Saccharomyces cerevisiae S288C: one gene and its partners. The gene in region 3 interacts genetically with the main gene of each other region. Each region holds a gene or a part of one and is shown on either strand. Other genes may lie near its edges.

Region 1 (2,397 bases), on a different chromosome or scaffold from region 3:
CGTTGACGTTTCAACTCCATTTGCTTTTTAGCCTCCAGTTCCATTTGACGTTTTCGTTCCTCTTCTTCGAGTTGTCGTTGGTGTTCCAATTCCATTTGCCTTTTCCTCTCCTCCTGCTTTATTCTTCTTTCCTCTTCTAATCTTTTCATCTCATTTTCCTTTTGTAACTGAAGTCTTTTTTGCTCTTCTAATCGTCTCAGTTCAGCCTCTTCTTGTTGCTGTTGTTGCTCTAACTCGTATCTTTTATTCACTTCATTCAATGTCGAATTGGAAGAATAGGGGGCCTTATTTAGAGATTTCATTCCTGCATGATATTCCACGCTTGCAGGCGTTGACACTGGATTAACGCTTTCTGTTTCAGACCTTCTTGTCCTCTCAGTAGGTGCTGAAAAGGGGACAGAGCCCACCGATTGGGTAGTGTTTGTCGTGAAATTACTTGTAGGTGACTTTATTGGAGATACGGAACCGGGGCGATTTGTGATGACTGCTCTTTGATAACTCCTCTCGTCAAGATAAAAAAGGGATAAATCCCAATTGACCAATTCAGGGACATGACCTTCGAATGTTTGAATGTATAGAGTAATTAGAGATTTAATGAAAACAGTTCTTTCCTTCGCAGAATTCGTTTCCCAGTAGTATTTTTTACTCATGGTAAGAATGAAGCCTTCAGATATCTCCAGGTCCTTCTCTACTCTTACTAGTTCGGTCAACTGCCAAGTTCTACCAATTTGAAAAGAGCCGTCTGAGTTTTCTCTTGCTTTATGAATTTGTATTAGCTTGGCATTGTTGGGCTTGGCACTCAAAATAAGGAGTCTTTTCTTTTTGTTCTCCAATTTTGAATCTGGAGGAGGTCTTGAACTAGGGAATTTTGAATCTTCTATAATCCGGACATGTGTAATATAATTATTCGGCGGTTCACCTGTCTTATGGTCGGGTCTGGAAAAGCAGCAATTAATTATGGCTTTCCTATCCCTTTCATATTGTTCGGCTAAAAAATTCGAAGTTTGAGAGGAATTTGAAGCTCTCGACACGTTTCTCTTATGCGAATAATTTCCACCAGAAACAGGTGGTGCGGAAGAGGGTACTGCACCTTGACTGACGTTTCTAGAATGGTGAGCACTGCTACCGGATATTGTTCTCTTGTGGAAAAACGATGTGTTTTCATCGTGTGATGTCTCACGACTGTGAGACTTCCTTTTAAAAGGAGACTTCGAGGACCTCATAATATAGAATAAATTGCGTAGCCTTGTTACCTAGCTGGAGATATCTGGCACCGACTCAGTCTTTATGACCGCTTTTTCTTCATAAGCTATGATACTGTTATTGCTATAAGTGTTCACCAAGTTAGTATTTGCCCATTAATACCGGGTGACATAGTCCCACAAGCGTGGTTCTCAAAAAGCAACGAAAAATTTTCTGACTTGGCAAGGTGAGACTTAGGCTGATAAGTAAGTACTTTTTAGTTTTTAGTGTACAATACCCCCTAAGGAACCCAGGTTTTAATACTATTATCTTTATAATGTCTCTCGACTTTAACACTTTGGCCCAAAACTTCACCCAGTTTTACTATAATCAATTTGATACCGATAGAAGCCAATTGGGTAACTTGTACAGAAATGAATCTATGCTAACATTCGAGACTAGTCAATTGCAAGGTGCAAAGGACATTGTTGAGAAATTAGTATCTTTGCCATTTCAAAAGGTCCAACATCGTATCACTACTTTGGATGCGCAACCTGCTTCCCCAAATGGCGATGTCTTAGTCATGATCACTGGTGATCTGTTGATTGACGAAGAACAAAATCCACAGCGTTTCTCTCAAGTGTTCCATTTGATTCCTGATGGAAACTCTTACTACGTGTTTAACGATATCTTCCGTTTGAATTACTCTGCTTAAGGATTTTTTAAGTCACCACAGAAACATGTATTTTCATTTTCGAATATTGTTTAGCATAATTGAAGATGCTTAGCTAACGATGTATAAGGCGATAGCGATAAAGAAGATATATATATATATATATGTATGAAGATAGCGTTTTTAAATGTATTTCTTTAATACTGATCTTCGATCATTTTGAGCTTGTTTGGCGGGAATACCATTCTTAATATCTTCAGAGACAAGTAAATCCACTTCAATTGACTTTTCGATATAGGTAACTAATTTTGAAATGTCAGTCTCTTGAACAGGAATGCGTACTATTCCATTATTGTCACCTGCAATATAATCACCAGGACATATTGTTTGGGTTACGCCATCACTCGTTAAGATTTTCAACTGTACGTTAGTGCCTACGGCTTTAACGACAGCCTTTGGAGCGCAAGATCCAACACCGTAAGCAAAAACGGGATGGTTTAAAGTCCGGTGTTCATCCACATCTCTTATGCGTCCAAAGACTA
Region 2 (3,335 bases), on a different chromosome or scaffold from region 3:
GTTACAATGAAAAAGACAAGTCGAATCACATTATGAATGGCAAACGATAGACCTTTCGTTGCCTTTCAATTACATGATATTCGTGGCAACATCTTCTCCGCTAACCTAAAAGTTTTATCAGAAACATATATCTTATTTTTTCTGAAGTAAAATCAAAGTGCAGGGAAGACAAGTAAAGGAGTCAGCAAAAAAGTGAAGTAAACTTATATGTTAACTGTTTATAACCGTACCTTGCTTACATCATCTATATTTTCGTAATCATTTTTGTACATTGTTTATATCTTGTTTTGAAGTTTTAGCTTTGAAAAACATTTAATTGCGAAGTAACATAATGTTATTAATAGTGTACGACTGAAACAGCCATTCTATTTAAACATATAAAAGTACGATTAGTTGGTGTGGTTATATAAGTCATAAAATAATTATCATATTAAAAAATTGAAAAATAAAAAACTACTCTTTTTTATTTCAATAGTTCTCGTTATTAGTAGGTCGTGCTCTTAAAAGATTACCCTTTCAGTAGATGGTAATGGGAATGGACGAGCCAGTACATATGAATTCTGCTTTGTAGCAACACCTGCATATGCGTTGTACCAAGCAATGAAAGCAACAACAACTCCCAGGACACCACCAGCTCTTGTGACACCAAGTCTATTAGCAAAGTGACCAATAGACAACAGTAGGAAAGTTAATGCTAGTAAGAAGAACAACAAAAAGAACATAACAGTGGATTTCATGGTACAAACGGTTAAACCAAACGTAAAGATGGCCCACCCCAACAAATAAAATCCTAAAGCATTATTCAAATCAGATTCATTGTCTTCGTAAGCTTCCAAGATACCAAACCAAGGAATGTAAATTGCAGCGAAACTCAACCAAAACCCACCGTAAGAACATAATGCGGTACCACCAAAAGTATTTTCCAAAGCTATCTCCCAAATACCAGCAATCAATTGCACCAAACCACCATAAAACATAGCACAACCGACGACAACATTAGGAACAGTGATCCCTTGCGCTCTCGCATTGAACATGGACAGCACAAATGTCGTCAACGCGAAGGCTGAAAGACCTAAGGGCGCAGGATTAGCAAATTTGTGCACTGGAGCAGGAGCTAACCCTGGATTCAAGGTACCACCAAAGGCTTGGTATAAGTCGCTCTTCAAAAACTTTTGACGCCCAATATAGATATATTCATTGTTATCACCTCCAGTGTAAATCTTGCCCAACGAATCATGAGATGGACGTTCATCTTCTGCAACGCCATTAACGTCGTTATCATGGGAACTATAGTATCCTGCTGGTGCATTCTCCAAATCTGTGTTTCCGCTCGTTTGTTCCTTGTCAGACATATTATTTGTTTGTATATGAGTTGTTTTGTGGTTGTTTAGTTATATCTGTGTTAGCTGTCGACTATTTGCCTTTTTCTTATAAACAGATGCTAGTAGTTTCTGTTGTATTGTTATTGCTATTGGACGATATATAAAATGAACCTATAGCAAGATCTCAGGGAAATACGATCCAACCAAGGTGCTTTATATACAGCTTGGTGTCTCTGACAGGTTGGAGTACAGAGGAGAAGGCGCCATAGCCGCCCAACCCGCGATAACGAAAAAAAGCTGTAAGAAAATGCAGTCTTCCCCAACGTTTGTTACCCCAACAATACCGAAATAGCCGCCCAACCGCAAATCTGGCAAAAAATCTTTTCGTATCTCGCTGCAGATGACCTTCCAACCCGCCCCTTTTTGTAGTCACGCCTTTAAGGGCCCTTGTTTGGCTTGCTCACATGGGGCTACACGTAAAAACCGTAGCTTGGAGAACCACTCAGCCGCTCGCCTATTCCACGGAGCTCCGGATCAACGGGCAGTGGACCCTCTCGAAAATAAGGAAAGTTGCGGGGCCAAAAATTATTATTTCTTATGTAAAAGAAGAGACTATATACGACGCCTATCTACTTTTGTTCCACAACTATCCACTTAAGGGCTAGATACCCCATTATTAAAAACACCACATTAAACAGAGCCAGGATCTTGATGTCAAATACAAGGTTTTGGACAACAAATCCAAATGTGCTCAAGATAGTAGCGCCTGGAACTTCAATATTTAAGCCGTACTTTCTCTCTTTCAGCATCAATGTTTTGACCTCATTGATCAATAAAGATTCGTAGGCGTAGTAAAACACAGAGAAGTTTTTCAGGTACTTGAAGGCCACGTTTGTAATATTCTTAGTATTGATAAATAGTCCGCTAAACAGTAGTGAGCCCAAAAGCACCAGCACGCTTAATATTATGGAGTTATTCAAGTCTTCAAAAATTATGCCGATGGTTAGGATTTCCAACGATATCCCAAGGTTAAACAGTATAAGGATTCCAATACATTTAAAAAAAGCATTGTCTTTCATGTTTAAACCAGTCATTGGGTAAACAATCAATGACAAGAGTATAGGTGGTACAACACGTAGCGGGACCACTTCGCTCATTATCTTACTAATGTAGTATGCAAGTGGCGAGTAATAGTTATTGGATCTTTCTTTTATGAAAATGATCCTTTCCAGAGCGAACGAGCTGAGACCTGTGAATGTAACAAAACCGAAGTACGTTAGTATAAAGAAGAACAGCCCCATTCTGTTCTGAAAACCGCTGATATCATTGGAGACGTTGTAATATAGTGTTCCCAAGAATAAACTCAATAGGATCGTCAGTAAATAATTACCCAATAATAGTTTAGGGTTTCTGTACATGTTTTTAAAACTTCTTGAATTCAATATCGATAACTGTTGCAGAAAACCAGCAGATTGTTGACCTGTGGGTAAATCTCCATTCAAAACGTTACTTTCCTCATCACCTTCGCTTAAAACTTCCTCGATCTCCTGTGAAAGCTCTGCATAATAGACGCTATCTTTATATTTATCGTGTAGTAGTTTGGTATTTAAGTCAATCTCAGTAGCACCTCGCCTTCCATCTGTTCCCTCTACATCTTCTTCATCTCTGAGTAAAGATCTGATCTCATCTCTATGAGCTGCAAGATGAGCCCACTCTCTCTGTGTTGTACCATCACTGCTAGTAAATGTTGTTTGGTGTATCGTATTATCAATATCGTTAGTATCCGTACCAGCTTCTAAATCGGAAATGTTTCTGATTCTTCTCCTTTTCCCCTGAGGACCGGCTTCAAAAGTAATATCAATCAAATAATCAGCAATATTATAGTTGTCCGGACAGATATATCCCTCATTTCTCAAAAATTCTGACACTTTTTTGGCATTTCCGGAATAGACCATCTCACCTTTACTTAACAGGACCAATTTATCGAATAAATAAAATATATTTGATCTTGGC
Region 3 (9,891 bases):
TTAACAACTTTACCAGCTTTGGAAAACAAAGAAGTCAAAGCCTTTTTCAAAACAGGAACTTTGGCGGATGGGATGACTGGGGCACCATTAACGACGATGTACTGATCGAAATTGAATTCTTCAGTGACCTTGTATTGTTCTTCCAGGTCGGAAAAATCAATGTCGTCAACAGGGATGTCCTCTAGCTTAATGTCTTCGAAAGTCTCGGTAGTCATTTGAATTATCTTTGACCTTTTGAGCTGTGTGTTGCGAGATACTATACTATGTACTGAGATGTTATTGAAATATAATTCGTAAATATTTTTCAATGTGCGTGGAAGAAAATTTTTCATTAGTTTCCCGCTATCCAAAATATGGAAAGGAGGGTAATAGGTGTCAGAAGAATAAAAGTATTAGGCGATCAAGTAATAATGATAAGATGGTGCACAATGAGAAGTTTATCTAGTTACGTAAAATGTAATGGAAGGTACTAAAATGTATTTTTTGTTTCGCGGCGTTACACGTGAGTTCATATTATTTCAACTCTTTGGTTCTTCTTAACGTATTATCAGAATGTCACCTATTCTAGGTGAATATCACCCTCTTGGTCAGTGGTAGCGTTTGCATTCGTAGCCACTGGAGCATTTTCATCATCACTGGACATGACGTTATCACTGTCATCTTCGTCCTCGTCATCATCGCCGTTAATTTCTTTTTGGGCAAAATCGATAGCTTCCTGTAGCAGATCGCCCTTAACGAACTTGTGCAGACCATTCGTTTCCGACAGTGAACACCAACTTATTTCCAATTCAAAATCCTTTTCCTTGTTATCCTCGTGTGCCAAATAGATAATCTTTGCAGCTTGTTTAACGGCCTCTCTTGCTGAAAGACCTTCTGGATGATGGTCAACTAATTTTTCCAATTCAGCCTTCGCAGATTGCCTACCTTTCCCAGTGGCAGCCCCCTTGTAGCCCCAATAAGAGCCACTTGGTTCCAACATGTAAAGATGAGCACCATTTTTATCTACACCACCAAAGATGGTACTGACCCCGAACGGTCTAACACTGTTGTATAAAGTGTGCGCCTGCACATATTGTCCTAAACGGTCTGCAAATGCAGGAATGGGAATGGGCGTTTTATACAGCTTTTTGAAGCTGGCGGCTTCTTCACGACCACGATTAACCAGGTGCCTACCATCAGGAATCAAACCTGAATAAACGCAACCGATGTGACGGTCTACGACTTGAATCTTGACATTTTTTTGTGGGACCAGCAGTTTAGACGTAATGAGCTTTTCCACTGCAAAGACTACACCGTCGTTACACTTTATACCGATTGATGTGGTACCGTTTTCGACTGCTTTGACGGCATACTCTACTTGGAAATTTCTACCATCGGGGGAAAAAACACTATTGGAAAGATCGTAACCAGTACCAATTGATGTCATTGCTGAAGAGTTATGCTTTTGTTAATTTGATGATGCGACGCTCGAATGTGTTTGAAAGCTTTACAACTGCACTACCAAATAAACCCTCTACCGCCACTATTACCACTTACTTTCTTATTTTTGCCACCGATTTAGAGGGGCGGCGAAATCTTCGTTAAACGTGATTTAGCTATCGGAACCCATTATAAATTGTGAGGAAGCTTACCAACTCATAAGTGGAATAAAGACACAGGCAACACTTTTCAGAAGCAATGTCAGCAATGATTCAGAAAAGTGACCCCATCAGGGTCGAAATCTGAGTGCTCAGATTATCTCTTCAAAGGGTAAATTACGGGTAGGACTACATATACAGAGAACTTCTGGGACCTGGGAAATACTGTTCTTTCTAGTGTGTATACATGGGAATAGCTGCATATTTCCAGACAGTTTAGATGTTACCTTTGTTTAAAGTTAGAGTATTTTTCACACCGATGATTACGAAGTCACACATTCGCATCCTGCGGTATTGTCATTGACAACGCGTAAAAAAACATATACTTAACGGAGGCCGAAGGAGATGAGAAACAATTGAAGAAAAGGAAAGGTAATATTTATTTAAATAGTCGTTTTCAAACCAAAGCCCAGCAATATTTTTCATCACGTCTAATTGGCAGGGAAAATAGTAGTACGAATACTTGATAGGATTGCAGAAGATCTTGTACATAAATGGCCTATTATAGAGAGTCACGCTGAACACGCGGCGGTAGCTTCAAATCTTTCTCTGCATTAAGTTGCTAGAGCTTGGTCTGCCCATTATATGTTCACTACCATCAGAAATTGTGCCTATGATTGTCTATCTTCACTTTTTTTTTTTTTTTGAACTTCCAAGCTGGTCGTGCTGCTATATTTATTTATACGTGTGATTTCGTCTTGCTAACATTAACATTTTTCTTCTTAAAACACACAACGGCGAAATGATTCGTATCACATGTTTTTCTATCGTCTGAGCTGTCAATGTTTTATAACCTAGACATTAAAAGTTATATAATTAAGGTGGGTTCGTCTTTGGAGGAGGTGCTTCCTTCTTGTTTAGGACTTTCATACTGGTAATGCTTTATAAGCACGGCCGTTGTTTTAGTTTCAGATCTTCCTATTGTAAATGGAATAAACTGGCGTTCCTACCGTGATGGCAGCGATATTACCTACCTTATATACTGCGCTTTTAACTTATGTATAATATATATATTAAATAAAATACAAAACAAAGTCTTGAATTTCTTTTCTATCTCTGCAATAGTTGACATTATTTCCAGTCCCAATTCAATGCGCTATCAAAAGGCACCATAATTTACAGTATATTATTTGAGCCATATCTAAGCGGAAAGCTCACAAGTTCTTGTCATGATACAACCTGATAGAATAACTATGTCGACACTCTACCGTATTAGGCGCAATGAAGTGGCCGTATACATCTCAGGAAAACTGGAAAAGACTTCCTAGTCGTTCTGGAAAAGTAGGTCATAATCGAAGAAATCAAGGCTACCAAAAATATCGGGAACATCCATGGATATGTCCAAAGAAGACATGGGAGGGTCATAGTAGTTTTTAAAATTACTCGGTAACTTAACATTGTCATTGTTATTAATGTTCGAACCACTGTTATTGTAGTTATTGTTTATCGGCATAAAGTTTAGATTAGGAGCGGCACGGTTACTTTCACTCGAACCAATTGACGGAGGCATGTTTTCCTCATTATTTTGGTTACTAATATTGTGTGCTAAGCTATAAGTGGAGGCATTACCAACATTTGTAGGGTCATTTGAGCTGCTGTACGGTGGTACACTCTCATTTTCCACGCTGGAGTTGAGTAAAAGTTCAATTGTGGGTGTATTATCTTTCATGTTTGGTTTTGATGGATTCAGAGAATTTTGTGGGTCAGCAACACCGATGTTTTTTATTCTGTCAAATTCTTTGATGATTTGGTATAATTGATCAAGGGTAAAGTTAACAGTGAGATTTTTGCCCTTTAGTCTATCAATTAAATGGTCAGACTTGTCCAAGTTAATTCCAAGTGTCAACTCCAACATTGTGGCAATTTTTTTGGTAGTCAAGTCTTTGTCTACTTTGACAAACAAACCAGAAAATAATTGACCTTTCCTCAGCCTTTGAATGAATACGTCAAACAAGGTCAACATCTTGAAAATGTAGAAATATTTAAATCTCAGGTTTTGGGACGCAAGTAAATATACTTCCAACAAAAGCCTCTCGAAGTTCTCCTTGATAGTGTCCAATGACTTTATTTTCTCCTTTATTTCTGGGAGGTCACTAATGTCACCTCTGGCATTGCATTCGTTACATTTGACCAGAAGCATATTTTTGGCCAGCTCTACCCGCATGATGATGACCAAAAGGGTAAACATCGTGGTAGGAACAGCCAATTGAATAACTTTTGTAGTGATGAAACAAACTAAAGAAGAAAGAACTTTCTCGTAACTGCCATTGAAATACAGGAAAAAAAATCTGATTAGGGAAATGGTGTCGGCACAACATTGAAAAAAATACTTATAGAAGAAGGATAAGCATTCGCTTCTCTCCATTGCAAGTGTTTCAAAATATAACATCAGCGCTATTGAGGCCCTTAACATCATTAATTTACCCAAGATCTGGCCCGATAAACTTATAGAATTCAAAATTGAATTGAACGTTAGTTTTTGAAATGTCTTCTCTTCGTCGTAGATGTTAATATCCACACTTCTTAGCTGAAATTTGTTTTTTAAAAGTTCATTGGCTTTAACGCGTAAAGTTTCTAGTGTATCCATTGGAACCGAACCACTGTATGAAATGGTTATATTATTCAAATCAGACAAGAATAATGCTAATTGAGCCCTATGGAAAAAAATCTCATGGATTTCGAGCAGTTGCTCATCCGATTCGGAACCTGTTAGATCCTTCTTAACCCTTTTTTTATAGATTTCTACACAATTGGGATCCCGAACGTCAATGAAAAGATCAATCATTGAAAGGGGTGAGACCAATAGTCTACCCTTCAGGCTTGACTCCAGAGTTGCCATAGAGATAATTGATAGCCACTGTATCCTTCGTAAATTTAGCAGCCTTTTGTCTGAAGCTTCGGGGTGGTTCAAGGCTGGAAAGTCAGATGGGTCACGATGTAATCCGATAGACGTCCCTATTAGTATGACAAGGTTAATTATAACATCCGACGGTTGTTCTAACAGAAAATCACCCTCAGTTGGGGAAAAAACAAATGCACACCAGATATAGAGTAAGCATGAAATGGTATTTTCATTTGCACAAGCACACCAATTTTCCGATGCAAGTATCTGCTGCGCTAGGAAAATTACTTCGCTTTGAATCGGATATTGCTCTAGCATCTCTTTGGTAATATACGGACTGTAATCTTCAATCTTATCTTCTATAAATGTCAAAGAGATATACGCGATCCTCAAAATTAACAGTAAGATACACAGATTCTCCATTTTATTTCGTATAAGGGTTGTGCCCATCGATAGTCGTACCTCTCCTAATTCATTATACTGTACTGTTGTGTGAATTGATTCCTCCAACATTTCCTTGCTGGCGAAAGGGATTAGGTGGAAAATATGCTCAAAGAAATGAGAGAGGTACTGTTCAATGATTGCCTTGGGAGGGAGCGTTTTCTCGATTTCATTGATGTAGCCTTTCAACAAATCAGAATAGTCGTTTTCGGTGGGGCATGTATCCTCTAAATATGACGATTCCCTGTTACTGTATAATAAAGAAATTACTTTATTTACCGCAATCTGTTCTTCAGGGTTCTTTCTCTGTAGTAGCCTGTCCGTAAACTCGTTAATGGATTTTCTTTGTGATTCGTATTTTGAGTTTTTCAATAGAACCTCTCTCATTTTTACAACGTTATTCTTTACGCATGGCTGTGTCCTCGACCTACTAATATCTGCATTTAAAGCAGGAATCATGGAGTTTCTGGAACAACTTAGAAGCACGGAGGCAATTAATGTCTTCAGAAAGGTATCTTGAAATATTAAGTACTTCTCAGATAAAGGGTTGATTTCTCTTTTCATCACTTTGGTCATAATCAATCTGGGATGAGTCTTATAAAGACTTATTGGAAAGCTATTTTCCTGCAAGCTTTTACATGTCCTTCTAGCAGCTAATTCTTCAGTCGGCCTTTTCAATGCAGTGTAGAAGTCTTTCTTTTCTTGAGTCAAATCCACGGTTTTATTTCTCCAGTAACGAATCTCCTTTTTCAGTCTCGCTATGGTGGCATCCTTATTCGGATTCCTAGGGGCCGCCTGTCTGGCGACATCATATATACAAAAGAGGTTTTGTTTAGTACATCTGCCACATCTAGGTTTTTCCTGGTCACACTTCGTCTTTGCTTTTCTACAAGCTTGGCAAACAAAAGAAAGTCTATTCCTTTTTTTACCTACTCTATTCATTGCCGGTGATGATTCGTCTGTAAAGTACATCTTTTATCGAAGAAATTTTGTTCAGCAAGATCAGAAAGTGATATTTCATCCGCTCTATACGTTTCAGTAGATTTTCTTTATCTGACCTCTATTAAGTCCTAACAACGCTTTATGTTTTCTTCGTTGGAGATACTCCGGAGATTATATTTAGTTCCGAGATGGTCTTACAACCTTTCAAATTCCAAAATCAGAAGAAATTTTGCAGGAAGGCAAATCCTACCGGACGTATTAGTCACGATTTTATTTATTCACATATACAGATATTCACAGTTCGAATTTTGTTTACAAAGGTCAATCTTATTGATCTGCGGCTTTTGAATACCGTTGCATTCAAGAACGGCTTTCTTCATTTCGTGCAGTTCCGGGACCGATTCGTAAACCGCATCATCATCCATTTCACCCTTCAAAAAGGATCGTCTTTGATCATCAATAGGTTTGTATCTTGTATCAGGGTGTTTGTAGTATATTGCCATCGTAAAGCATATCAATATGAAAATGAAGAGATACAAAGAAAACGCTGCATTTAGAAAAAAGAAAATTAGTCCCATAAAAGAAGACACAGCTATGGGCTGCTGAAATAAGTTACTGAAAAATAAGAAAAAAAATGCGTTCACTAAATTCAGTGAATGGATACTAATATTGAAGAAGTTGGTTGTTTTATCCATGTAAGGTTGCATCCAGCACAAAAGGATGAGATAGATAGCTTCATTCAAAAAGATACCAATAGATTGAGATTTTCCGTGCGCTTGTAGAGAACCCACTAGTATAGACCTAATAAGCATGTGTGCAGAGGTCGCCATTAACCACCAGACTTTTGTAGACTTAAATTGAGAGGAAAGAAAGCCGAACTTGTTTAAGAATTTCGAGCTACTGAAGAGTAAATAGCTTGGCTGGCCAAATATTTTCTTAGACTTGATCATCTTCCTCCATATTCTTACGCTTGCGGATGATAACAAGACTGTAATCAAAATGAAAACAACGATTGCCTCCACTAAGGTAGCTGCTGAGTCTGTTTGAGTGAACTCCCAAAGTGCTAAAAGAGATATCTCAGAATAAATTATGAACACCGCTCGATATAGTGTCCCCTGTAAAAGTGCACTCCAATGTGTGTGGAAGTGTAAATATCTAATTGTCTTAACTTTAAACTTCTGAAGTACTTTCAAAAATGTTTTGAAGATAATAAACGCCAATATTATCATACAAATGAATATGATAAAGAAGGAAAATCCCGTTAAAAAGAAATTTGATATCTCAATTCCAGCTTTGTAAGACACCCTTTTAATACCTCTTAATACTAAAATTTTTGACAGATAGTCATTTGAATTTCTCAAATTTGAAGTGTATAATAAATCATTTTTTTGGGAACTTTCAATACCATTTAAATTACTTGACGCTGATATGATTTTACTGTTCAAGGATCTTTTTTGAACACTGATCGATAAAACTTCTTTATTGCGGTATACAACGGTGGGGGACCCAGATGTTGCGACAACATACCAGTCAAATAACCGCTGCATAAAATTTATCCTTATTATTCCCATTGACCATTGGAAATTTTGAGTCCAAGCGGCGACAATAGGCGGTAAAAATGATACACTAATCATAGCTAAAATAGCCAAATTTTGGAAATATAAAAGTAGCGATATTGAATAAGACGCCAGTCTTGTTGAAGTAACCGTATAACCTTGCAAAGAATAAACCACTGAAAACATAATTCCGGAAATTGTCAATATCACTAGATTCCACGATAAATACTCTGTTTGGACTGTTCTACCATTTGATAACATCACTTGTACACATGCTAGAGGTTTGGTAAATTCTTTATCAATAGTGGAGTATGCTGTCACCACAATATATGCGTCTAAGTCAGGTATATTATATGTTATGCTTGGTATTTGGCTAGCTACCGCGGCCTCAACATAATAACTTCCCATGAGTTCTATATTTCCCGGCTTCAACGGACATAATAAATTATCTTGGATTCCACATAGATCAAAAACTTTGGTATAAACATTGAGACCATATGCAATCAATTCTGCCTTGATGGTTATGTTTTCGCTCATAATTGTTTGTGCTTCAACATTAAAGAATAGAGTATTATTTCTCGGGAAAAAAGCAGCTTCGAAATACGATGCAGAAAACTGTGAGTCTTTAGCACAAGTCAACAGAGCCGAAGTCCTTAGATATTCTTTAGTATATGCATCAAATGGTACTGGGAATAGAGTCGATGCGTTGTTCAGTAGTGTAAAAGAGTTAGAAACCTGGAAAGTAGAGCTGTTAATGGAAATAGCGTGTATTTGTCGGAAGATTGCTAGCAAAACAAAAATCCGAGATAAAGAGAAGACTTTAATGGGAAGCATACTTATTCTCTTTACATCTATAAATCAGAGAGGTTAAATATTATTTAAAATAGCATTACGACTTTGCTTCATCATCCTTCCAAAATATTGACACTGCATCATTTTTTAAATGTGTCAGTAATTCGGGCACAAAAATATAAATGGACCGCCATGAACTAAAGCTGTCGTCGATATGGATCGCTCCATAGCAGCATTATAAAAATTAAAAATGCATCAATACCATGCTACAGTAATAACAAAATACAGCATGGATTACCACTACATATTCATCATGTCATGCATTATAGTTGTAACATATGCTGAACACCCATTCATCACGTGTAATTGGACATCCGTGGAGTTCCAAAAGGAGTATAAACGCAAATAGTAAAGCTAAGATATAAGTAGTGTCTAAGTAAATGACTTCTTTGTAAGCGTACAGCTAAAGTTTACCGATGAGTTACGATAAGAAGGCAGATGTCACATCCTTAGATGAAGATTTGAGACAACTAAGAGAAAGCAAATTTTCACCGGAAGCAATTCAAAATATCAAAATATGGGTATATAAATCTGTCCTAAAAGAGATAGCTCCTCCTGGAGACTTATTGGAATGCTTGAAAGATGGAACAGTCCTATGTAAGCTGGCAAATATTTTATATGAAGCAGACACAGGAGAAGCTAACCATATTAGTTGGAAGAGCTCTAAAATGCCATTTGTTCAAATGGATCAAATTTCCCAATTTTTATCATTTTCGAGAAAATATGGTGTGCCTGAAGATGAACTGTTTCAGACAATTGATCTTTTTGAGAAAAAGGATCCTGCCATTGTTTTCCAAACGTTGAAGTCACTATCTCGTTACGCCAACAAAAAACATACAGATAGATTTCCAGTTCTAGGACCACAACTGTCAACAAAGAAGCCAAGACCCCCGGTTAAGTCTAAACCAAAACATCTACAAGATGGTACTGGATGGAGCACTTTTGAATACGGTTATATGAAAGGTGCATCTCAGGCTACTGAAGGAGTGGTGTTAGGACAACGGAGAGATATAGTTTAGAGAATTATTATTAACACTTTCTCTGGCAGAAATTGATAAATAAACATTTAAGAACCCTATATACGCAACCAAAGTTCCTTTGATATATTTTAGTTTTCCATCAAAGTTTTCCTACATAAACACTAAGGTGGCTAGAGACGCGTAACAAAAGTTAACGTTACCGGTAAAAATGTGATTATACAAATCAATCTCACAGAACGGTGTGGAAACAAAGTAGTTGAAGGATTTCAACTATGCGAATCAACAGTGAGCTAGCGAACAAGTTTTCTGCCTCAACGGTGCACTTAGAACATATCACAACTGCTTTAAGTTGTTTAACACCTTTTGGTTCTAAAGACGATGTGCTTATATTCATTGATGCTGATGGGCTGTCATTTGTCAGGGAGAATAATCATGTGATAAAAATCCAACTACTGTTATCTCGGGAGCTATTTATGTCTTATTCGTATAGAAATGAAACTGAGGATCACATGAAACTTTGTGTAAAAATAAATCATATCTTAGATAGCGTTAGCGTGATGAACAGGAATTCGGATGACATTGTTGAGTGTACTTTATCTTATGATGGACATGGATCACCATTTGTACTAATATTTGAAGAC

The links.
Region 1: mutations in PIP2 (region 3) and NTF2 together harm fitness more than expected from each alone (negative genetic interaction), as found in Saccharomyces cerevisiae (one large-scale study listed by BioGRID).
Region 2: mutations in PIP2 (region 3) and ADY2 together harm fitness more than expected from each alone (negative genetic interaction), as found in Saccharomyces cerevisiae (one large-scale study listed by BioGRID).

Annotation. Positions count from the first base shown.
Region 1 is NC_001137.3:170,596-172,992, forward strand, and holds NTF2 (Ran GTPase-binding protein NTF2), read left to right. Parts: upstream 1-1,519; coding exon 1,520-1,897; downstream 1,898-2,397. Other genes in the region: GTP-Rho binding exocyst subunit SEC3, read right to left, coding at 1-1,223; YER010C (bifunctional 4-hydroxy-4-methyl-2-oxoglutarate aldolase/oxaloacetate decarboxylase), read right to left, coding at 2,039-2,397. UniProt on the Saccharomyces cerevisiae protein: Facilitates protein transport into the nucleus. Interacts with various nucleoporins and with Ran-GDP. Could be part of a multicomponent system of cytosolic factors that assemble at the pore complex during nuclear import.
Region 2 is NC_001135.5:131,773-135,107, forward strand, and holds ADY2 (Ady2p), read right to left. Parts: upstream 1,353-3,335; coding exon 501-1,352; downstream 1-500. Other genes in the region: putative ATP-dependent permease ADP1, read right to left, coding at 1,952-3,335. UniProt on the Saccharomyces cerevisiae protein: Transporter protein required for ammonia export and acetate uptake and resistance. Necessary for up-regulation and down-regulation of meiotic plaque (MP) component levels in a dependency on external acetate. Has a role in ascus formation.
Region 3 is NC_001147.6:1,017,321-1,027,211, forward strand, and holds PIP2 (oleate-activated transcription factor PIP2), read right to left. Parts: upstream 5,893-9,891; coding exon 2,902-5,892; downstream 1-2,901. Other genes in the region: PRT1 (translation initiation factor eIF3 core subunit b), read right to left, coding at 1-332; PRE10 (proteasome core particle subunit alpha 7), read right to left, coding at 560-1,426; YOR365C (putative flavin adenine dinucleotide transporter), read right to left, coding at 6,141-8,252; SCP1 (Scp1p), read left to right, coding at 8,687-9,289; RAD17 (Rad17p), read left to right, coding at 9,523-9,891. UniProt on the Saccharomyces cerevisiae protein: The PIP2-OAF1 heterodimer acts as a transcriptional activator to induce the transcription of genes encoding proteins involved in fatty acid beta-oxidation, a response called oleic acid induction, when cells grow on fatty acids as sole carbon source.